Pelodiscus sinensis: one gene and its partner. The protein of the gene in region 2 interacts with the protein of the main gene of each other region in a pairwise test. Links are inferred from orthologs where the notes say so. Each region holds a gene or a part of one and is shown on either strand. Other genes may lie near its edges.

Evidence for each region. The genes of interacting proteins can lie anywhere in the genome.
Region 1: the proteins of VIM (region 2) and KIAA0408 interact in binary tests that used the Homo sapiens proteins (3 or more experiments, as listed by UniProt). The link is inferred for Pelodiscus sinensis from reciprocal best matches to the Homo sapiens genes VIM and KIAA0408.

The regions. Positions count from the first base shown.
Region 1 is NC_134713.1:90,711,963-90,719,526, forward strand, and holds the start of KIAA0408 (uncharacterized protein KIAA0408 homolog), read right to left. Parts: upstream 3,089-7,564; 5' UTR 2,825-3,088; intron 1-2,824.
Region 2 is NC_134712.1:218,778,024-218,785,771, reverse strand, and holds the start of VIM (vimentin), read right to left. Parts: upstream 3,050-7,748; 5' UTR 2,966-3,049; coding exon 2,421-2,965; intron 1,528-2,420; coding exon 1,467-1,527; intron 1-1,466. UniProt on the Homo sapiens protein: Vimentins are class-III intermediate filaments found in various non-epithelial cells, especially mesenchymal cells. Vimentin is attached to the nucleus, endoplasmic reticulum, and mitochondria, either laterally or terminally.

The DNA.
Region 1 (7,564 bases), on a different chromosome or scaffold from region 2:
AGCAAAAGGTGAGAATCACATCAATTAATGCATTCTAGGGAGTGACAGTTCAGTAGTCATACATGGTACGATGTACTGTATTCAGTTTGTGTGTTCCTTAAATTTGGGTTTCAGAACAGACAGTTGTGTTAATCAAGTGAACATATATATTCATATCTTTTCACAATAAACTTGCAGATTGCATTGGTTCGTGATCAGTGGTTGTGTCAATGTAATTTGTAAGATCACGAAGAACTACTCCCTTTATTGAACATGTTTCCTTTAATGTAGTGATTACTAAAAGAATTACCTGGTGTTGCTTGGGTCCTAGAGGGTGATAGTGTTGCCCCCTGAGGCCAATGGGGGCCATGTTGCCCAGATGGCAGCTGCTCTGTGGCTCTCAGAGGCTGCTGGGGGCATGCTTGCTTGCTCCCCCTCTGTGGTTATTCTGGAGTATAACTCTCCTGCTATCACAGCCCCCTTGTTCCATTTGATGAGAAACAATCACAATCCATGCACATCCCATTGTCCTGGAACAACCAAAAATCTGACCTTGCTTTAAATTATGATAAGAGGAAGCTGCAGACTAAATTTGGTAGTCCTAACTCTTATGGTTCAGGAGGAGTTCTTGAACAAACAGATGCACAGATGGACAGACAAACAGATGCACAAACTCTCTCAAATATATAGTAGACTAGTTTACATCTAATTTTGTAATTCCCTTTTGAGCCTCATGCAAAGCTCTCCTCACCCCTTTATTGGGCAAAAAAGATTGATTTGGCTGGATCCGCAACATGAGCAGCACCCACTTTCTGAGTTTTTTCAGCCAACTGAACTCAATATATTGAATATCTGTTTCAATCTATGAAGCATATCTAGTCATATCAATTTTTTTTTCATTTATTTACTACAAAAGTTGTGGGGGAAGGAAGATTGGGGAGGAGAAGGACATACCAGAAGTAATTCACTTTTTTAATAGACGTTTTTAACTTATTCAAGAGACTTCGGAGGAATTAACCAAACTGATCTCTCTATTCACTCACTTGACTTCTCTTGAATGATTCAGATACATGCAGCAAAGATCAGTGCAAAAACAAACTAAAGACATATTGAGATGGGTACAGAGTGGAAACTATCAAAATGCAATGAAGTCCCAGAAAAAGTTAGCTGCAACTAGTTGCTTGTAACTGTAATTTTCCATCAAAAGTGCTTCTCTCTCTCATTCATGGTTTCTTTTCCTTTTCATATCACTTCTTATTCCCTTCACGTTTCCTCTTAAGATGCAAATAATAATAGTGAAGCTCATGATTGTTGATGTTTGCTCTGATGGCCGCTACTGCAGTAAATCTACCGAGTAAATTCCTTAGAGCAGTGTTTCTCAACTAGTGGTATGAGTACCCTTAGAGGTACTCAAGAGAAGTCTGGGGGAGGAAGGGGTATGTCAGCACAACTGAAATTTGGAGATAACTGAATTTTTGTTTTAAATTTTACAATGTTTTATTATTTTTGTACTTTTTACACCCAAAAATGTCATTGCCTTCCCGGCTATGATTAAGTTGTTTAAACAAATGTGTTGCAATAGTAGAAAAAAAATTGTGTGTCTGAAAACTGTAGGTACTGGGGGTATTTTTATATATATATATATATATATTTCTATATATATATATATATATATATATATATATATATATTTATTTAAAGAGGGGGTACTTTATTAAAAAAAAGGTTGAGAAACACTGCCTCAGAGGACTTTGACCCCTGCCCCTATAGTTGTCTCTTTCTTTGCTTCTTTCTCTCTGAAAGCTAGAAATAAGATCCCAATCGCTAATACTGCTATTAAACTCACCATTTGTATAAAACACTGGGCTGTTCCCACAGGTACTCCACATGGCTTGAGCAAAACAAACAAATGAAAAAAAAACCCTGCTTCCTTTTTATTAAAATACCTTTTTCTTTCACATGTGAAAGCCTATCACCCCAGCACAACCATGATTTTCATTTGCCTTGTGGAACATTACAGTGTCTGAAATCTGGCTATATTGGCACTTTCCACATGTCCTAGACAAGGTCAAAAGCTCATTACAGCAATCAACTTTATGCAAATAATCAATTTTGTCAACATCAGCTGTATTTATCTTTTCACTGTACCCTTTCCTCCTCTCAAATAAAGAGTTTAGGCAACTCCTGGTCTCTAATGTTACTCTTTCTTCCCTCCACCTCCCCTCTATGTTCATATAAAAATGCAAAATAATTTGAACTGAATTTCTGATGTGGTATGACAACTTCTAAAAATAATGTGCTGCGACATCAGAAGAGGTGTTATTTTTCACCACAGATTAACGATAGCGGACATACACAGCTATTCAGATAAACAGATCTTCTTCTTTTTTATGAGTGGTTAATTCACAGTAAGATAAGGTGATGGTTTCTGGATGGATAATAAATGATAGGTCTATTTATATATTTGTAAAGAAATGGTCGGCATCATAGTTTTTATGCACTTTGTATTAAACCTATAAGAAACTCTCAGAGTGTCATTCTATTATTTAAAAACAAAAGGTTGGCAAAAATGGGCTGTCATCTCTTTCTTGTTAATAAATCATTCCATGGTTTGGAAACACTGGCTGAACCATGGAACAGCCTTTCTTTAAGAAATAAACAACCACCATCACACTTTTAAATTATTATTGCTCTAGGTGCAAATATAAAAATGAGGCAGATGTTTACAAGAAACCTTGGTCAAACTGTTTACTGCCTTAATACTGAGTATTGTTAACTTTCTTTTCTATTTCATAAATAAGGCCATAATTCTTCCAAAATCACTGAGATTTCCAAACGTCCTTACCTTTTGTGGAGTAAGCAATCCTTCAGAAGTTTTTCAGTCCATTTCTCAGTGTAGTAGTGAAAGCAGTGAAATGCATAGCTAGATGGGATAAGGAGTTCCAGTTCTGTGAATCCTGATCCTTTAAGAAAACAAGAAGCCAGGAAAGAGAGAACTTTTCAATCGGAGCAGCACTGCAACTCTCTTTGATTAACTTCACAACTTCAGTTTTGCAAACTGAAAAACAGTTCTATTTGGCATCCTCCCGGCAGCTGGGTTCCATGTGACGTCAGTACATGGAGGATGGTTTTAAAGCCATTTCTTCCACCCCCACCTCTGTAACTTTATATCTGCTCATATTTTGTGTAAACAACTTCAAGTCCAGGACATTTTTAGGTTTTATAGTGCAGCCTAGTATTTAAAGCTTGCCAAAGCAACCAATGTCAATGTTAAAGCTATGACAATGGACAATTTTAGATTTCTTTTATTAGTTAAAGGCAACCCTGTGTTTTAAAGTAGGATTCTTTTCTACATTCCACACCCAGTTTTGAGGGGCACATTTTAAGTTCTTTAGGAGCTGTGTTGTTAAAGTACATTTGTTTATAAGAGCAACTTTTCATGATCCACAGCTCCCCTAAAACACCCACTTTCCCCCACCCTAAAAGCTTTATTTTTTGTATTCAATTATAGTATCATTTCTGAAATAAGACAGTACAACTCATTGTGTAATCCGATCTTATTTGTATTCTAGGAATGCTGACAATGACTCATTCAAAATATATACAAATATTTTTACTACTTTACATCCCTTCGCTGGCAGAAACCTGGGAGAGATGATGGAAGATGTCTCTTGTTTCAGCTGCACCCCACAACCCTGGCACAAGAGGAGGGAGGAGACAAACAAGATAGGCTTGAGGTAAAGGGTGTGTATGATTAAGTTGAGGTCTGCTACCAAATATCCTCCACAGGTGTAACATTAGTGAAGTACCTTATGCCTATATAAATTTGAGCTGCTACTCTGCAACACTGACCTAGGCTGGTGCTAGACAGCGGAGAATTAGGGAGCTACAACCACCATACCCCTACTCTCCATGGAGCCTGAATGGAGTGGGGTAGAGAATCTAGCCCACTGTGACAAATCCTTGTATTTGCCTATCTAATTGAATAGTGTTGTTGCATTTCACTGTAGATTATAAATTCCATGCTCATTTGGTATTTGATCTGTTCTGGATATGGTGTGGACCTACATAATCTCAGCAGGAACTTTGGCAGGGATCTGACCCAAGGAGCCCCAAGGTGTGCAAGTATGGGGGAGCGGGATGCATACTACTTTGCCATCGGCAAAGCATCAGGAAAATGGAGACATGTCTCTTTTCTGCCCCCACTTCCATATTTCACCAGTAGTGGTTCAGGAGCTTATCTGTGCTGGGGAACTACAACTGAGATGGCCTCTGCTTACACCCTGAGGTTGGGGTCTAAGATTACTTGTGCCCTCAACCATTTGCAACCTGCATTGACTTATATTGTGCATGGCTCATCTCCAGATGTATGCAGCGGCTTCTGGCAGTGCTGAACAGAAGACTGGTGGGCATCTGCTATTAGGCATGTGAGTGCTATTCTAATTGCCTTGAATGGGAACAATGTTCAGGCCCTCCAGAGCAGAATCTGAGCATCTTACAAACAATAGCATTTGCTTGTGGGATCAAGGAGATAGTCTGCCTAGGCGCTGTGGGGATCACTTACTCAGCACTTTCCCCCTTTGGAATGACAAGGTGTGCCTATGTTAAAACAAATGTACAATAGAAGAGTTTCAGCTGAGGGTGCATTTTACAGTCAACACCAAAGTTGGTTGCAGTGAAAATACATTTTTTCTCCTTATATGGTCAGAGACTAAGTGAAGATATTACTTGGGTGCTTACTCTGCCCCTGTGAAAGATGTGCCATGGGACTCGGACTGTTTATACAAGTTTCAAAAGCCATTTTTTAGAAAGAAGAAAGATGATTGAATGTGACAGATGGTTCCTGAGGAAAATCCTCAGCCCATTCATTTAAAAATCCTTCTTGTTTAAAACCCCAGAGATACTTTCTGCCCTCAGTTACACTCAAACAACTCAGCTGTGCCTATGTAAAATGGAGCAGGACTGAGCCCCTAATTGAGGATTATGGATCCAACCCTCTTCTCACAACTTCAATGGAGTCAACAAGGCTGCACAGGTGTAAAAGGAGGGGCGGAGTATGATCTTAAGAACTTTTAATCCTATAGTTCCTTAAATATAGACTATCATTCCAATGTATTTATTTAAATTTTACTAAATTGGTGCCTATTGTCATCCAAGTGCTGTGAAACAAAATATTAAAACACAGACTCTTACAAATTGTGACCTCAGTTTTTACTGACATTCACTTGAGATTTGCCTTCAAGTCAGAATGAGGACCGACTAAAAACAGAGCAAGGTCTTGAGGGTTAGCTCTGTGAATAAAATGATGCAACTCAGTAGGAAGCCAGACCTAAGGCAAACTGAAGTCTATGTTGTGAGCCACACAAAAAGGTGTCTAAGGATTGTAGCTCCCCTGCAGTCAGTTAGGGTATTAGAAGATTAGAATGAAAATTTATGGGACTATGAAGGAGATGTGTTTCTGCATTGACCCTATGCAGCTCCCTGAAAGTCAAATGGGGTTTTTGCCTGAGGGCAGAATTTGAGCCTTCCATTTTACTTTTAAAGTATGATTCTACCTGAAAATGACTGTTTTAAAATAGCATCTACTTATTCAGCAGACAAGATCCCAGTGTGGCTGGCACCACTGGCAGAGTATACATGACTCTTACATGGGCATGCTGTGATTGGGAGGGCACAAGAAGCCTTCCCCTGTCTCTAGCCTGTTTAAAGACCAGGCAAAATTGCTTGCCCCGAGGGAAAAGCATGCTCCCCCAACCAGCATGCACAGCAGAATGGAGACACCCAGCTAGCAAATTGCCTCCAAGAAAAGAATGAAATAGCAGGCATGTTCCCATTAAAGTCGGAGAGTTCAGAGAATTTTTTTCTGTTAAGTGTCTCCTCAAACTCTCAGTGAGGCAATGCAACTGCACATGGTCCCCCTATTCTGGGCACGATCTAGCCCTTTGTGACGAGAATAAAGATTTACTCCTCTTAAAAGATTTACCAGAGTCAACATGGCTACAAAAAAAAAATTCCTGTATTCTATTACTTTTCATACACCAGCAGACTCGGTAACTAAATTCCAATCGCAAAAGGGGTTTGGTAGAAAATACAATTGCAACTGTGCAACCCCCATGACTTTACGGACACCTCTATAAGGGAGGGGAATATTATTCACAATTTACAGTTGGGGGAACAGAGTCACAGAAAGGTTACATCATGCAACTTGCTCAAGGTCACATTGGAAATCTATGATAGACATTTATAACATGTTTTCTCTCCTAAATTACAGCATAGCTTGCCAATAAATACTGCATAACTTATGGCAGAAACTGGTCTTGCATATTGTTTCCCCATCACTAAAAGAAAATAACAGTGTCCGAAATGTAAGTTAGTAGATGATAGGTGATAATAGACCCTCTTATTCTGGGCTGATTAGAAGAAATGGCTTGTTATACTCAAAAGCTCTACTTGTTTATGTAAACAATCCTTCAAGTTCATGTGCAGTTCATCTTTTTTTATAATGCATATTTAGACAGATATTGTTTTGACAGTTTTCTATACTCCAACTGCTGGGTATATTTCTGTTTCATATGGGCACCTGCTCTCTTCCAGTTCTTATTCTAAAGCATTTGCGACAAATGTCAGCAAACCCATGTCTTATTATATCTGTAATATGGAACTGCAGACACACATATTTTCAGATTAAATAAATATCTTTGTTCCTGAACAAGATCTTTCAAACTACCATTTATTTTCATAGGTGCAAGTTACTTTGCAGTTACAATTTAGAAAATAGTTTAGAGGCATTTACTATTTAAAAGAATGTACATCTGGATGTTAAAAGGAAACAGACTTGACTCAATTTCTCTGGTTGTATTCAAAGAAAAAATACATTCAGAGTCTGCCCTTGTGGGAAATCTGCGAAGGCCAGAGAATGAGCTAAAATGTTCATTTTTTTTTTACAGTGCTACCATACTGTTGAACATTTGACAGTATCTTCAGTGATGCCAAATGATTAAAAAATAATCACAAGATAAAAAAGTAATTGCAATTCATTATAGTTTTAATTTTGCTTTTAAACAATTACAGAATATGAATTTAAAATTATAAATCTTTTTGGATTTTTCTCTGCTTTCAAATATATTGATTTCAATTACAACACAGAATACAAAGTGTACAGAGCTAATGTTACACTACTATTTTTATTACAAATATTTTCACTGTAAAAAGACTAAAAATAGTATTTTTCAGTTCATCTAATAAGAGTACTGTAGTGCAATCTCTTTATCGTGCACTTGCAGTTTCAAAAATGTAAATTTTTTTAACATAACTGCATTCAAAACCAAAAATATATAAAGCTTGAGCTTATAAGTCCACTCAGTCTTATTTCTTGTTCAGCCAAAGAAGGTAACAAAGTGAAATTTCTTAAGATAGCTATAGTACTTGACCCAAGGTTTAAGTATCTGAAGTGCCTTCCAAACATTGAGAGGGATGAATTGTGGGACATGCTGTCAGAAGTCCTAAAAGTAAAAGAGCTACACTCTGCAGAAACTACAGAACTTACACCATCAAAAAAGAAAATTCCCCTTCTCTTAGTGGTATC
Region 2 (7,748 bases):
TTTTGGTAACAAAGTCTGAGCTTGCAAGAACACTTCTGGTAGCGTTTACACAGTAGTTCTCAAATAACTTTACCAACAAAGTTATTCCCCACAGCTGTAAAATGTGTAAACTGAGGCACAGATAAGGGAGTTAGAATCATTAGTAGTGTTTGACAGAATGTAAATCACACTGTGAAACCCTACTTAATGTAATTGGGGTTTGGGGCAGATCAGAAAATCAAAAATGTGGATATATTAGAAGAATTGGCAAAGAATATTGCTATTTTAAGATGAGGGCTCAGACAATTGGCTTCAGGCTGCTGGTAATTTGGTTAAGATGGTAAACGGGATAATAGAAGCTTGGATAAGCTTTATTATATCAAGTACACATGTATCAGCATGTTCAAGAAAAAATTTGGAATTCTATTAACTTTCTATTATTTATAGCAGGCACTCAGTTTTCAAACTCAGAATTCAATCATAATTTGTGTTCAATGGATGTATATAGTGGCTAGGAAAACCAAAGGCTAGCATCTCATTTTAATTGCAGATTCATGGTTTTAGTCAGAATTTTGGGTTTATCATGGAAAACTAGTATCCCTGGTCATGACCTCCCTCTAAAATGTGGGCACAGCAAGAAAGACAGCATTATCTGACTTGTAAGTAGAAAAACCTTAATATGAAAAAATTCTCATATGTTGAGGCAAGTTCTTCCTGTAGTAGGTATTTTGAATCAAGACGGGCCATATCTAAAATAACTGGTGTTATAAAACTTTAACTACGCTTACATCATTACACATTCAGTAAGAATGCAGCCTACAGCAAGCCACTCTTCAATACAAAGAGTTCTATTATTTCAATCTGCTGCCACCACACTTGCCATAATGCCTGTATCTGCATTCCATAGTGAATCCCATAGAAACCATTAATACCCTTCAGCCAAGCGAGCAGATGGCTCCCTTTCACCCTTATTGGATCAGAAAGTGATTCTACATTGGAGTGCTTTTGTAGAATTGGCTAGTCTTGGACAAAGCCAACAATAGCAGTTCCCTTGCCCATGTAGGCATCACCCCCACCCCACCGAAAAACAAGTAGTTATTACATGTGAACTTGCACGTTGACTAAAAAGCCAGCCCCTCAAATCTTGCATATTTGCTGCTAAGGTTTCACATGATGGGTCAGACATTATCCCTATTCATACAAGACAACATTTCTATTTCAATTTGTTCATTGCAAATTTGTTCAAAAATCAGACCTGCTATATGTTCTAGCTACTTTAAAACTTAACTGTTTCTAATTTTAGCATTGTCTAGACTAAAGGAATGGCAGATCCCTTGATAAACTTCCTGGAGGTACTGAGAGAAGTCTTGCAATTTTACAAGTTGCTTTTTACCACTAGGTGGCCCTACATCCAACATTATATCAATGTTACACATTTGAATTTACATTCAGTGCACTCATTTTAATATACAAAAATTACTACAAACCTGTCTGAAAGATTGCAGAGTGTTTTCAGCTTCTTCTCGCTGAATCATCTCATCTTGCAACCTGAAAATAGTACCATATAGATTATTAACTTTGGTGGGGGGCAGGAGAGAAGAGAACCTCAGCACTAGGATCTGGTAAAATCCAGCTGGTAGCCACACCCAGCCAACATCCCAGAGGGGGAAGATGGGGCCTCTCAGAAAAGGCATCTCATTCTGACATTTTTCTGGTCTGTGCCTTCTTTATTAAGTTTGCATGACTGGGCTTTGCAGCTTTCTGCTGTTGCAGCAGTCTGAAATCCACAGACAGCCTAACACAAGCAGTGCCAAAACCGTTAATGCTTATTCAGCTAATGAGCAACAAGAGGCTGACCTAGATTTGGGTTGATTTTAAACCCTCTTTTGGTAAATTCAAATTCTGTTAGGCAGCAATATTTAAAGAAGCTGATTGACTTTCAAAACTTTGGTGTGTAAAGCCACCAAAAACTTGTAAGAGTCTCCGAGCAACACAATTAAGTTTAAGGGCTCAGATGAGTGGCAAAGCTAACTTTTGTAATTTTTTTGACTGCATGGTCTTAAAATATCAGACTGAACTTTGGGATTCTCAGACGATGGTAACCACTCGTGATGGTTTTCCACGAAATCCTGCTCCCTGAACTTTAATCTGTACTAGAAGAGCCCGTGACTAATACACATCAGCCTTGTTTTGGCTCACGGTGGTAAATTAGCTCAGGCGTGCCCAAACCGTTAGTTAACCATGTGGGTTGGATCTGTGCGCTCCCGCCACCTCCCTGATGCTGAAGCCTCAGAACAGCTTCCAGCTGTTCTCAGGCGCAGGGGAGGAAGTTTCTCACACTTTGAGGGTACCGACTGCATCTTCGACCCTCCCCCCAGCTCTTGGGTGGAAGTAGCGAGGTTGGGCGCCCCCTCCCCACCCATCCGCCCCGTGGCACTCACTTCTCCCGCAGCCTGAGGATATCGTCGGCCAGGTTGTCCCTCTCCACCTCCACCCTGGCTTTGTCGTTGGTGAGCTGGTCCACCTGCCGGCGGAGCTCCCGCATCTCCTCCTCGTAGAGGTCCCCCAGGCGGGAGGTGCCCTTGCCCTTCAGCTGCTCCAGCTCGGCCAGCAGGATCTTGTTCTGCTGCTCGAGGAAGCGCACCTTGTCGATGTAGTTGGCGAAGCGGTCGTTCAGCTCCTGCAGCTCCACCTTCTCGTTGGTGCGGTTGGCCTTGAACTCCGTGTTGATGGCATCGGCCAGCGAGAAGTCCACGGTGTCGTGCAGGAGCCGCGAGGGGGGCAGGCTGCTCCGCAGCCGCAGGGCCGAGGACTTGGTGGCATAGAGGCCGCCGGGCGAGGAGGAGACCATGCGGCTGCTGCTGGGGCGGATGGCGCTGCCCAGCGAGTAGCGGCTGGAGGAGACGACGTAGCGGCTGCCCGAGGTGCTGGGGCGGCTGCCGCCCCCGAACATCCTGCGGTACGAGGAGGTCTTGGTAGTGCTCATGGCGGCGGCCGGCCGGAGCTTTGTAATCCCAGGCGTGCAGGGTCCGGCTGCGAGAGCGACAGGCGAAGGAGAGCGGCAGCGTCTGCCCGCGGCGGTATTTATACCCCCGCCACGCCCCGAGCTCGGCCCGCTCTGCCGCCAGCCAGCCCTGCCCCGCCCGGCACAGAGCCCCCTCCCCCGCGCCGGGCGGGGCCGGGCCGGGACGCCGGGGTCCCTCCCTCCACTCCCTGCCCGACTTGCTCACAAAGGCTGCGGGCGGGCCGGGGCGCTCTGCAGTGGGGGCCAGTGGCTCGGAATGAGGGGTCAGGGCGGGAGGCTGGGGGAGGCGGGGGCGGGGAGGGCACAAAGAACAGATGGGGGTCTGTAGGAGGCATGGTGTGGGGGAAGGGTCAGTAAGTCGGGTTGCCAACTCTTGACTGAAGCTACTCCTAGACTTGTTCCTCCCCCCCCATATGAAGTAACCTGGCTTTCTTAAACCACCCTAGACTGGCATGATTTTCCGCAAATGCTTTTAACGGAAAAGTTTTCCGTTACAAGCATTTGCGGAAAAGAGTGTCTAGATTGGCACGGATGCTTTTCCGCAAAAGCACTTTTTGCGGAAAAGCATCCGTGCCAATTGAGACGCGCTTTTGCGCAAAAAAACCCCGATCGCCATTTTCGCAATCGGGGCTTTTCTGCGCAAAACAAATCTGAGCTGTCTACACTGGCCCTTTTGGGCAAAAGCTTTGCACAAAAGAACTTTTGCCCGAATGGGAGCAGCATAGTATTTCCGCAAGAAGCACTGATTTCTTACATGAGATCATCAGTGTTCTTGCGGAAATTCAAGCAGCCAGTGTAGACAGCTGGCAAGTTTTTCCGCAAAAGCAATTGCTTTTGCGGAAAAACTTGCTAGTCTAGACGCAGCCCCTATGAAAATCTACTCTATGGTTCAATAGTCACCAGGAGATGGGTACCCATTCTGGGAGTCTCCCGGAGAGTTGGCAACCCTGTCAGTAAGAGGCAGAGTCAGTAGGGACTTAGGTGGCAGGGTGGGAGAACAGAGGAGGGTAAGCAAGAGGCAGGGAGGATTAGGCAAAGGAGAGGAGGGGATGAGAGGGTGAAATAGAAGATTCAGACATGGAAGGAGTCACTGAGGAGGGGACTAGAGAAAAGGGGCCAGAACATTTTGCATGCCTTTTCCTTGCCCTGTGGATAGCATCTAGACTCTCTGCCTTGGCTCTCATACTGTGGGGAGGGGTATCTATGTGCTTTACAAAGCTGAGGGTCTCATGCCCAGACAGGGAGGCCAGGTTCGGGGCAAGTGCAAGATGGAGCATGGCTAGGGTTTAAGGAGGAAAGCAGACTCCCTTTCTCTGGGAGTCATGATGCATGCTGTGCCATACCAGTTGCGTGTGCAGAGGGGAGTGAACTAAGCAAATGCCAAACCGAGTGCTGATGTCTGAGACATGCCCCATACTGGCTGTGCTCATTCTGGGTGTGTTCTCAGTTAGCTTGTGGTGTTCACAGGCCTCTTTGCTCTCACCAAGCTTGTGCATAAGCTGAGCTACTGCTTGTGGTGATCCAAATTGGGGAGAAAGAATGACTGGTCTGGCACAGGCACCCAGGCTACGTCTACGCTGGCATGATTTTCCGGAAATGCTTTTAACGGAAAAGTTTTCCATTGAAAGCATTTTCGGAAAAGCGCGTCTATATTGGCAGGACGCTTTTCCGCAAAAGCACTTTTTTGCGGAAAAGCGTCCGTGGCCAATCTAGACGCGCTTTTCCACAAAAAAGCCCCGATCGCCATTTTCACGATCGGGGATTTTTTGCGGAAAAGAAATCTGAGCTGTCTACACTGGCCCTTTTGTGCAAAAGTCTTTCAGAAAAAGATTTTTGCCCGAACAGGAGCAGCACAGTATTTCCACAAAAGCACTGACAATCTTACATGAGATCGTCAGTGCTTTTGCGGAAATACAAGTGGCCAGTGTAGACAGCTGGCAAGTTTTTCTGCAAAAGCAGATGATTTTGAGGAAAAACTTACCAGTTTAGACACAGCCCCAGAGTCTCTGGTGGCTGCACTTAAGCAGGGAAGAGAATCCCTGTGCTGATTCCTCCTGCACATCAGCTAAAACAAAGTCACACTTACTCTATGTGAAGGGCTATCAAACATGAAACAAATACTGAAAAATAGGGTATGTCTACACTACCCCGCTAGTTTGAACTAGCGGGGTAATGTAGGCATACCGCACTTGCAAATGAAGCCCGGGATTTGAATTTCCCGGGCTTCATTTGCATAAGCCGGCTGGCGCCATTTTTAAATGCCGGCTTGTTCGAACCCCGTGCCGCGCGGCTACACGCGACACGGGCTAGATAGTTCAAACTAGCAAGCCATTCCGCACTATCTGTACACCTCGTTCCAGGGGGCTGCTCTGGCCAGGTCAGGACGATTCCACCACACCTCACTGTGAGCAGGGGATCTGCTCTGGATGGGCCAAACCCGGCTGGAAGAACCTCCCACTGGTTAACTGGTTACCCCAATAAGCATGCTGGTAAAGCACATGTTTACCAGGTCAACCCTTTACATCCCTAAAGTAGATAGAATAGAATATTACCAGAATAGTTGAATTACATACAATCTTGCTCCTGCTTCTTGGCACAACCCTCTATGATTTGGATGAGAGAACAGGCTTCAGTTTAATAATTTCACCATTAAAATGAATGGGAACAGTGTCATTGACTTCAATGGGCACAGGATCAGGCCTAAAGAGAGAAACTGGCTTAACGACAACTGTAGTGAGATGTAGTAGCTGTCAGCCATTACTTGAAGGGTATAAATAACAGGAATCAGATTCTGTGTTATATTGCTGCAAAAGTCCCATTTGTAGTCAATGGGAATTTTGCCTTAGAAGGATGGGCTCTCCGCAGCAGTGTTCCCTGTAAGCTGAGCGCTTGGGTGGCTACCCAGGGGAGATTCAGGCGCTGCCCAGCTGACAGGCAGAGCGCTAACAGCTGACCACAGCCAGCAGCATGTGTTTCTATTGGTGGTACACAACTGCACGTGCCTTGGTGCATATAACAACATTTATTCTGCACATTGATGAAAAATCTTAGAGGGAACATTGTTCTGCAGGAAGAAAAATTATGTAGGAGATATGAGGAGTTAAAACTAGGAGTTACAGAATGATATTAAATAATGAAAAATTTTAGTGGAACATCAGGTGAAAACTCATAGAATCATAGAATCATAGAATAATAGGACTGGAAGGGACCTCAAGAGGTCATCGAGTCCAGCCCCCCGCCCTCAAGGCAGGACCAAGCTCCACCTACACCATCCCTGACAGATGTCTATCTAACCTGTTCTTAAATATCTCCAGAGAGGGAGATTCCACCACCTCCCTTGGCCAGGGGAAAAGTCTTCCCAGGAACATGATGGAAACCCCATTGTTTAAATTCTTTAAAACTAGACAGGTTAAGCACATATATATCCACACACACACACACACACACACACACACACACACACACACACACACACACACACACACACACACACACACACACACACACACACACACACACACACACACACACACACACACACACACACACACACACACACACACACTGTAGGGAACAAATTTGTCATTGATAGAGCCACTAAAACCTTCTAGGTCTTTTCTATCTTTAATTGCTACGAAAACGTTTTTGATCAATTGTATTTTTATATATTTTTAAGTCTCCCACCATCTAGCTCACAACTCTCTAAAAACTAATAGTTATATTGGATGCTGATGCATTTGAATGTACAGATGAACAGTGAAAAAGTTGCAAAGTATAGTGTCCGAGTCTCCTATCGTAGGGCACAATCAAATGAGTGGAATTAACTGTATCCCATGGTGAAGAATATGGTGCAAAATATTTTGTGAAGAGATGTTTTATAAAGAAATGGTGCTGTATCTTTATTCTGGATAGTGTCTTCAAGTAATGGAATATGGTTTAAATCTAAATTAAGCGATTTTGGGGTTTTGGACCTCTCTGCTGCCCTTCTTCAGGCCTTAATTTGTTATTTACATTGCAGCTTTGTCAAGCAAGCAGTGCTGACATATTTGAGCTATGGAAATGTTTTCAGCCCAAGTCTTGCACTATAGTTCACTTCATTTGTTGATTCAATAGGATGCAGGGGTCACACACATACACAGAATTTCTGGGGCTAACTGTACTGGCATCCTCTCCTGTTCTCAAATGTGCCATCCTAGCTTCCTGGGAATTCTTTCTTCAGCCATCAAGTGACTACTATAAACCTTTGTGAGTCTCCTTACATCCTGGCTCAAGAATACACACTCCCTCCATGAGAAACGAGAAGTAAGGCACATGACAAGCAGCCTCATAGATTAAAAATATTTTACTTGCTAAGTACTGATAATTTAGCAGTACTTTTTAAAAAAAAGATGTGCCACACCCAGTCAGCTCTTTGCTGTTACTAACAGAACATTAATTGTTTATGCTTTACATATTCATGAGTGTCATGTTTTCAGCATGTATTTCTCCACAAATTGAGGGTGTTTGTGTTATCAATTCAATATGAAAACCCTAATATTTAAATATTAATAGGGGTATGTTTGTGCCATTCTAACTGGGGCACTTCTTGGCCAGTAGCCTTTCTGTTGCTTTTTGCTGTGAAATTTCCAAGAAATGTTAAGAAGTTGGCAGTGTGGTAATCAGATTGGCATTAAACCTTTAATGTCATTTGATGGGTGGTACATAAGTGAGGGAAGGTGCAATGAGTTTCTCCCCAATTGCCAGA